3 linked regions of the Callithrix jacchus genome follow. The protein of the gene in region 2 purifies or fractionates together with the protein of the main gene of each other region. This does not show direct contact. Links are inferred from orthologs where the notes say so. Each region holds a gene or a part of one and is shown on either strand. Other genes may lie near its edges. The genes, in order: ADGRA3, RYK and PCDH7.

The links.
Region 1: the proteins of RYK (region 2) and ADGRA3 purify together in Homo sapiens (affinity purification with mass spectrometry; 3 studies listed by BioGRID and IntAct, with this or other methods). This does not show direct contact. The link is inferred for Callithrix jacchus from reciprocal best matches to the Homo sapiens genes RYK and ADGRA3.
Region 3: the proteins of RYK (region 2) and PCDH7 purify together in Homo sapiens (affinity purification with mass spectrometry; 3 studies listed by BioGRID and IntAct, with this or other methods). This does not show direct contact. The link is inferred for Callithrix jacchus from reciprocal best matches to the Homo sapiens genes RYK and PCDH7.

What each region holds. Positions count from the first base shown.
Region 1 is NC_133504.1:171,415,617-171,419,280, forward strand, and holds part of ADGRA3 (adhesion G protein-coupled receptor A3), read left to right. Parts: intron 1-321; coding exon 322-477; intron 478-3,664. UniProt on the Homo sapiens protein: Orphan receptor that may have a role in planar cell polarity pathway.
Region 2 is NC_133518.1:50,014,721-50,017,038, reverse strand, and holds part of RYK (tyrosine-protein kinase RYK), read right to left. Parts: intron 807-2,318; coding exon 670-806; intron 1-669. UniProt on the Homo sapiens protein: May be a coreceptor along with FZD8 of Wnt proteins, such as WNT1, WNT3, WNT3A and WNT5A. Involved in neuron differentiation, axon guidance, corpus callosum establishment and neurite outgrowth.
Region 3 is NC_133504.1:163,020,330-163,023,993, reverse strand, and holds part of PCDH7 (protocadherin-7), read left to right. Parts: coding exon 1-1,380; intron 1,381-3,664.

The sequences.
Region 1 (3,664 bases), on a different chromosome or scaffold from region 2:
TTTATTAAGCAATTGGGATTGAGGTGTGTGTAGAATCTGGATAGGCAGAGAAGATATAGATGGTGAAACTTGTTAACCTCATGTATTTTTATGTATTATTGTATTTCACTCCAAGCTTAAAAAAATTTCCCTCAAGTGAGTTTCCATTAAAATTCCAGTTTTCTTGAGTTTGTAAAAGCATTTTTAAGAAGGCCATGATGAGTAAAAAATAAAGTTTTTATTATTTGTTGCTGTTTGGAATTGCAAAGTTAAAATGTCAAGATTATGTTGATCATTTTGCTAATGACCTTTCTGTTGATCATTTGTGCCTTTGAAATGTAGATGCCCCTTAATCTAACCAATGCTGTGGCAACAGCTCGGCAGTTACTGGCTTACACTGTGGAAGCAGCCAACTTTTCTGACAAAATGGATGTTATATTTGTGGCAGAAATGATTGAAAAATTTGGAAGATTTACGAAAGAGGAAAAATCAAAAGAGGTACTTTTCAAAATTCAGATGTGTAGCATACAGTGTCAACAAATGGTAATGTGACATAGTTCAATCTGATTTTTTAAAACCCGTGTATGTTGTCATCTTTTTTTAAATTTCCAGGATTGTTTTGTTAAGAAACTTCTGCCTCTTCTCTTATAATGACCTGTTTGTTACTGGGATGGGGACAGTTGAACTCTCAGTTCTTGGACATTAAGGTCCAGAGATACGGCAGAGGTAGCTGGTGAGAAAGCAGTGTTCTGCCTCCACACTGTGGCTTAGGCAGGGCTGCTTAGCTCAGCCTGCTTCATTTCTCTTCACACACCCTTCGCTCGTCATTTGTAACAGGAGTTTTAATCACCCAAATCTTGTAGTAAGTTTCTTTTAATTGTCCTTGTAATGTCTTAGAGCAATGAGAGTCTGTTGGGGCACTGTGTTGAAGTTCCAAATGGTTAGAATATATAAGTTTTAAACATGCAATGAATTCTAAAAGTGGCATATTTTAACAGAACCACATTAAAACCATGAGATGCTTGTCCACGTAATATCCTTTAGGGGAACAAAATTGACAAGCACAGTTTTCAGAATGAATGAGCAGCAAATTAACAATGTTTTGAATAATTTGCAAGGAGCAGAATTAATGTGTTCTTAAGCTTTACATTTAAAGCTTCAGGAGAACTTTATATGTACAATTTCTTTTGTAATATAATCACTTATAAAGAAATGAATTCTAGAGGTAGAGGGAACCTCAAGCAAGTGGTAAACTGCAGCCCACACTTAGGTTAGGGCAGGCCTGAAACCAGAGCCCAGAGCCCTGACTCATCCATAAGAGTTTTCTGTAGTATCACTTTCACCTTTTCATGTAATGTGGTCCTGTCTTTTTTTTTTTTAATTATACTTTTAAGTTCTGGAGTACATGTGCAGAATGTGCAGATTTGTTACATAGGTGTACACGTGCCATAGTGGTTTGCTGCATCCATCACCCCGTCATCTATATTAGGTGTTTCTCCTAATGTTATCCCTCCCCTATCCTCCCACTCCCTGCTGTCCCTCCCCTTGCCCCCCACCCTGACAGGCCCTGGTGTGTGATGTTCCCCTCCCTGTGTCCATGTGTTCTCATTGTTCAACTCCCACTTATGAGTGAGAACATGCAGTGTTTAGTTTTCTGTTCTTGTGTCAGTTTGCTGAAAAAGCAATGGGGCAATTGCTTTTTAATCTGATTGAGCCTGGTCAACATAAGCTGGTGCTTTTGTTTTCTCAGGATAGGACTAAAAGCTATCAAACTGCCAGATCTAAGTGATGTATTTAGTGGAGCCTTTTAAAAACAGTTGAAGGTTGTCTGTCCAGCTTTATCTATGTCCCTGCAAAGGACATGAACTCATCGTTTTTTATGGCTGCGTAGTATTCCATGGTGTATATGTGCCACATTTTCTTTATCCAGTCTATCATTGATGGGCATTTGGGTTGGTTCCAAGTCTTTGCTATTGTGCACAGTGCCGTCAAAAACATACGTGTGCATGTGTCTTTATAGTAGAATGATTTATAATCCTTAGGTATATACCCAGTAATGGGATTGCTGGGTCGAATGGCATTTCTATTTCTAGATCCTTGATTCTAAAAGTGCTCTGTACACAACTGTGGAGAAAGCACTGGACTAAACAAAACCTGCATATTTCTATAATGTAGAACTTCTTAGATCCATTAATATTGCTGAAATGTAAATAATAAGACTTGTTTCTATGAATCATTTAATATGTTTTTATATATCAATTGCCCACACACACTTATACATCACATATATATTCTAATATATATTATATATTATATAGAATGCTCTTTTAGATTTATCTGAATATATATCATTAAGATTTAAATGTAATATTGCTTATAATTCAGTGACTGACGTACAGTTCTTTGGCAGTTTAAACCACAGGCCAGAGCTTTCACTGTTCATTAGTGTAGTGAAAAGAAATTAGAAGACTTAAGGGCTTCATTTATTTATATCCAAATATATGTTATATATCTTTATATTAATATAGATATGTTCTTATATACTAGATCTATCTATAATGTAATATGTTAGATATATTCTCAGATATCTACATATTATATATATGTAAATAGATGTATTCTTTTATATATGTAATATATATATAAGAATTACTATCTTGCATTCTGGTGGAACTGTAGCCCTAGTACATTAGGTACTTTACTTGGTAGGATGTGGTTATTAAGGGAAGGAAAACAGATATTTGTATATAAATGGGACTTAGGCAGATAGGCCAACTCACTTGTCAATGGGGTAACATTTCATTTGTTTTCTGAACTTCGGGGGCCATGATTTTCTAATAACTGCCTCGATACTTGATTGTGTCTCTGAGCTACAGCCCTCTTTCCTGCAGTGAATTTTCCTTGCACTGGGAGAAGCTGTTTGAATTCTGGCTCTGTGATTAATATTGTGCTCCATTTTTGCTTAAGATCACAGGTTAGCTGCCCACAGGATTAGCAGTCGTTTCTGGTAGTGGGATGTGTCTAGTTACTAGAATAATTGCAGTGGTATTTGGAATGAGGACATGGAAGAACATTCACCATCGAGGAATACATGTTTATGATGTGACTCTGTTTTGCTCACCTCTCAATTTGAGCCACGTGGTATCCAGAGGTATATACTGAACTGTTTGCCAGCATATGGAAGAATGGTTGGGTGCACTGACAGGTTCTTAGGTGGAAGCATTGTGAACTGGAAATAGACATGGTTTCATTAGTTATTAATTAACCATGGGGCCATTCCTCATTTTTCAAATGGGGATGTTATTTTCTCTGTATAACTTGAAAAGTGTATGTGTACAAATACAGGTGAACAATTTTGCAAAATACTTGCAAAACTTGGGCATAATTTTAATAGGTCATGAAATTTAACATTTTTATAACTCAGAAGCTAAGAAGAAAGTCCATTTAAACAATCACGAGTTCACCAGTTACTTCTTAAAAATTTAGTTTGAAGAAGATTGCTGCCACTTTTACTGGTTAACATAGGATGGCAAAGTTACAATTATCTTTGGAAGCAAGTGATGGCAACTTATTAACTGTCAGCATGAGAAACAGGAAGATATTCAGGATTGAATAATTGAGATATAAATGTAATACTGCTTGTGATGCAGTGACCGACATACAATTCTTTGGCAATTTAAACCAC
Region 2 (2,318 bases):
GAGAACGTTTTATCTAAGGTCTATAAACCCTGGATCTAGAGTAAAATCAGTACAAAAGCTGCCACCTTATCATGATGCAGAAACCTTCAGGGGGTTCTAGAACTGAGAAGATACTCATCTGTATGTCTAAACACCCTCAATAGCCTCCTGCTTATCCCATTCTCATTACATGACAAGATAAGCTATGTGATAGAAGCAGGAAACAGAAAGCAACTACTTTGCTCACTAGTCCAGATCATCTTCCCTGTATCAGCTGATACCAACTGGGAAGGCAAAATGACAGTAAGAAAGGTGTTTTATAACTACTGTGTCCTTTATAACTACTTTATAACTACAAAAGTCAAGTACTCACTCTATATAGAAAAACTGACATAATATTCAGCCAATTTTCCTAGTACATCCATTTTCTTAGTCTGTCCTCTCAGACTAATTTATAGTGCTTAGATTATGCACTATAAAATAAAATGCAAGAAGTTCTAATGTCAAATGCATAAATTAGTGACTGAATCACCCTGACTTTATGGTTCTTTACAAGAGTCTAATTTAAATCCAAACAGTCATTATTTTCAAAGGGAAAGCTCTGTTTGAATATGGAAACCTGCTCATTTTCCTTTATTCCAATATAGTAAATGGAATAAAGTTCATGCCTTCAAGCTCAGAAAAACTCACAATTCATCAGGACAGTTGATTGGCTGGGCTATTCGGTAACCATCTTTCAGGTATGCGGCCATCTCGAAGGGGTCAATGTCCACGTAGGGCGTCTGGCCCAGAGTCATGAGTTCCCACAGCGTCACTCCAAAGGCCCACTAGGAAAGGAGCAGGAGCACAATGAGGGGACATTTAAAACAATGGTGAGGGGGCTAGTGCCCACAGCTAGCTACAGGACAAAAAATAGCAGCTCAACTCAGGCTTCAGAAAAGCAAAATGTTATTTACAAAAAGAAGTCTATCATACGGTTATTTTCTCTTGCCAAGATTAAAAAAAAGTTCATCCAATATTAGTATTATAAATTCTGCAATTAGATCCATTCGAAGTAATAGTTTAGTGTTGATTACAAGCTATGTATTATAAATTATGTCTAAGATTCTTCTAATATGAGAATTTGTACCTTTAAATATTATAGCTAGTCTGCATAACTGAGAAGTGGAAAATGAAAAGAATTCTAGTCTAATTAAAGGGAAAAGCATCCTAAGTGAAATATGCAAATGAGGGGAAACATAAAAAGTCATGGATTTTTACTGTATTTAAAGTTTTAAATTAACAGATTAAAATAACTTCCAAACTTGCCTGAGTTAGCAATCAGACTTATTTAAAATCAGTATGTAAACTACAGAAAGGAACAGGAATGGTCAACAGTGGCAACGGTGTCCACTCATAGTCTGAGCGGGGCTCCCCATTTTGGCCAATTCCTGGCTGTACTCAGCTCCTGGAGAGTGTGCAGGAGGTGGGAAGCAGGCAACATGTCTACACAAAGCTGCTGCCACGTGGCTGAAAAGGACTCAGATCTGGTATGTCCACTGATCTGTTACCATGTATGAACCCTGAGGTCAGAATAACTGAACTTGAATAGGGAAGGGGAAACCTGTAGACTACAGTATCAGGTTTGTGAGTACCTACAAGTCTGAGGCATTTTGTATCCTTCAGTACATTTAATTTCCTCAATAAACCTGTGAGAATCATTGGTAGTTCAGTTTTACTTGTGCTACCATGATGGGGAAACTGAGGATCAGAGGAATAGCTTGCCAAAAAATGCATATTTTAATGAGTAAAAGAAAAAAAAAAGAAAAATACCAAACACAAGTCAAATACAAGTCTATTTGTAAAATCTAAGTATACTGCATTAAATTTTAGGTTACTATTTTTCAGTAACAAAATCCTAAAATACTTACTTTGTAGACAAATTTTTTAAAAAGCCCTATAATAGTGAACAATGGCTACATTTCCCCCAGAATCTATGCAAACAAGAAAACAATGAAATGACATATTTTAAGAACTGTCATAGTAAGTTCTATATTGAGCCAAAATATACTTCAACAATGAAGACAAAATACGGAGTTTTCCAGAAAAATAAAAGCAGGGAGACTATGTCTCCAGCAGACCTGTAAGGTGTATAAAAGCAGTTCTTCATGTGGAAAAAAAAAAATACACCACATGGAAATCTGGGTTGACACAAAGAATAAAGAGAACTGAAAACATATTAGTAACAACTGAACCTATTCTCTTGTGTTAAAATTTCCTTGATAGACTATTTAAAGCAAAAACAGCTAACAAGATATTGTGGGGTTTATAATATACAGAGAATTGAAAGATATACCCAC
Region 3 (3,664 bases), on a different chromosome or scaffold from region 2:
CGCGAGCAGACTGACAGGTATGAGTTTAAAGTTAACGCCAAAGACAAAGGCATCCCTGTGCTGCAGGGCAGCACCACGGTGATTGTGCAGGTGGCTGATAAGAATGACAATGACCCTAAGTTTATGCAGGACGTCTTCACCTTTTATGTGAAAGAAAACTTGCAGCCCAACAGTCCTGTAGGGATGGTCACCGTGATGGATGCTGACAAGGGGCGGAATGCAGAGATGAGCTTGTATATAGAGGAGAACAATAACATTTTTTCTATTGAAAATGACACGGGGACCATTTACTCCACAATGTCTTTTGACCGGGAACATCAGACCACATACACTTTCAGAGTCAAGGCCGTGGACGGGGGAGATCCTCCCAGATCTGCCACAGCCACAGTCTCGCTTTTTGTGATGGATGAAAATGACAATGCTCCCACAGTTACCCTTCCCAGAAACATTTCCTATACTTTACTGCCACCTTCAAGTAATGTCAGGACAGTAGTAGCTACAGTGTTGGCAACAGACAGTGACGATGGCATCAATGCAGACCTGAACTACAGCATTGTGGGAGGGAATCCCTTCAAACTGTTTGAGATTGATCCCACTAGTGGTGTGGTTTCCTTAGTGGGAAAACTCACCCAAAAGCATTATGGCTTGCATAGGTTGGTGGTGCAAGTGAATGACAGTGGGCAGCCTTCCCAGTCCACCACGGCTCTGGTGCATGTGTTTGTCAATGAAAGTGTTTCTAATGCAACTGTGATTGACTCCCAGATAGCTAGAAGTTTGCACACTCCACTCACCCAGGATATAGCTGGTGACCCAAGCTATGAAATTAGCAAACAGAGACTCAGTATTGTCATTGGCGTGGTTGCTGGCATTATGACAGTGATTCTAATCATCTTAATTGTAGTGATGGCAAGGTACTGCAGGTCCAAAAATAAAAATGGCTATGAAGCCGGCAAAAAAGATCACGAAGACTTTTTTACACCGCAACAGCATGACAAATCTAAAAAGCCTAAAAAGGACAAGAAAAACAAAAAATCTAAGCAGCCTCTCTACAGCAGCATTGTCACTGTAGAGGCTTCTAAACCAAATGGACAGAGGTATGATAGTGTCAATGAAAAGCTGTCAGACAGCCCAAGCATGGGGCGATACAGATCTGTTAATGGTGGGCCTGGCAGTCCCGACCTGGCAAGGCATTACAAATCTAGTTCCCCATTGCCTACTGTCCAGCTTCATCCCCAGTCACCAACTGCAGGAAAAAAACACCAGGCCGTACAAGATCTACCACCAGCCAACACATTTGTGGGAGCAGGAGACAACATTTCAATTGGATCAGATCACTGCTCTGAGTACAGCTGTCAAACCAATAACAAGTACAGCAAACAGGTAAGATGTATCCCAAATGTATTTAAATATCCGAGGGAGGGCTAGTAACTCTGGGACAGATTATCTTCGGTAAAGTTTTGTCTTCTCGTTTTTTAAAGTTATTATTAAAATTTAACAGTAGGAACTTAATGTTAATTTGTGCACCATTAATTTAGCAAAGGCCATCCACCAGTGGTGTACCACTGTATTTTGCAAGTTTAGACTTAAGGTTCAGTAAACTACTGAAGGAACTGTTCAAAGTAGGCAGTGTTTTGCACTTCTCTTTGCACTCAACATCCTTAATTCATTCTACTTTTTGTTCCCAGAATAAATATGCTTGTATTGTTTAGATGGTTAGTTTTCACCTGAAATTATTTTCTTTTGTGGCAACTAAGTGGATAATTGCATCCAGAGCAAAAGTTTCTAAAGTTACTACTGGTGTCTATGCAAGTTGGATACCATAAAAGTTTTAGCTATGTTATTTACAGTGCAGGATTTTACAGAGAAGCAGATGCTGATTCAAGCAAATGTAGTACTAAGTCTGAGATATTGAAATACTCCTTTGATGAAAACGCTGGTTTAAAAATACTTACTGACATGCAAATGTCATATAGAACTCTACTTTCAATATTTTATATCTATTACAATTGATATCTATAAGAATTAGTAATCTATAATGATATGCAAATACTATTTGCATTCTTCCTGTTTGGTGTTAAAAGTTTGTAAACAAAAATACACTGCATGAGCCATTTATTATTTAAGTCACGTAATGAAAGTATTCATGATCAATATACTGTGTGCAAGACTTTCGGCATGTGTTATGATATATTGAGAATATAAAGATTATGTGACATAATCGTTTCTCAGTGACATATAGAAACAGTAAAATATACATATATTCTGTGGTGGAACTTAAGCAAAAATGAAATTTATTTTTGAAAGTTTTCCTTGTGTGATACACAATCCTCAGAAAGTTTACTTTGCGTATCCACCAAAGTTTGCCCCACAGCAAATAAGCCCTTTTGGTAAGGGCTGTGTCTCATGCTACAGCAACCTCAGATAATAAATCAGTAAGTCTTTCTTCCTGTCAGAACCCATCTCAAGAAACACAGTTATGACTGTCAGTCTAGTTTCCATTAAATATGCTTTGCGTGTGGAATGTGGAATCTGAGAAGAATTGAGGCAAAAGAAAATGTTATTTTATAGCCTCATTAACGATGTTACAGAAAGATATTAATTCTTTATTGCTTTTTTGATTATTGAAATTTTTTTTTAATAAATATTTTCTACATATATTACCTTACTGTAGGTGTTTGGATAAGGAGAATCAGTCTTAATATGCGTTTATATCTAATAACAAATGCAACCTAAACACTGGTTTGAACTACATTTGCATTAAATGGCTTTGAAAATATGTCCTTTGATATATGTGCATTTGAATTATTTATTTTAAACCAACATTTTACATAATCTAGTGTTTATGCCTGTTGTATTATTGCCTTACCTGAAGTTAGAAGCTTATTTTTGTATTGTTGTGGTGCTTTTATCAGTTTTGTAAACAAGGAAGATTCTAGCTAAAACAGTAGCACTTTCTACAGATTTCTTATAAACACCCAAAAATACATTGAGATTAGACGTTTCTCTAGAAAAGAGCAACAGGTAATGCAAAGGAGTGTGAAGAGATCTGTCTGCAGAATATTTATATCTCGGTTTTTATCCTAATGGTACTTCTGTCCTGTGGCCAGATAGCATTTGCATTCTCAATTGTGTAATCTTCTGTTTTTGAGTGGACATATCAAGTGACACTTTTATAGATATTTTATGCAAACACTTTATATGCTCTGTGCTGTCACTTACGCTTCATTTCCTCATCAGATGAGGTTAGCTCTATATTCCTGAATATTTAAAACAGCTAATATCAAGACTGTTGGCATCCTGTTTAAAAGGCAAAGCGATATGCTTATAAATAAACTAATATAGGGTGTTAGCCTCTTCACTGAGCAAAGAAGTTCATATTCCAAGAGAAAACCCTCAAAGCAATTGGAATGAATCACACAGTTTGCCAAAAGTGACTTTGAAAAACTTTTCTGTCATTAGGTATTCGAAGGAAGTATACAGTTTTAACCACAAGTAAACAGCTGACCTAAAATGAAATAAAGGCAAATGAAACACATTCCCCTTAATGTAATTAGTCATAGTAATTGATATGTTTCATCTCCTCAATATTGCTGTCAGGGGACAAGGGATCATTTACAAAGGTACAGTCTGTTTTGACGTCTGACATAAATAGGATCCATTTTGT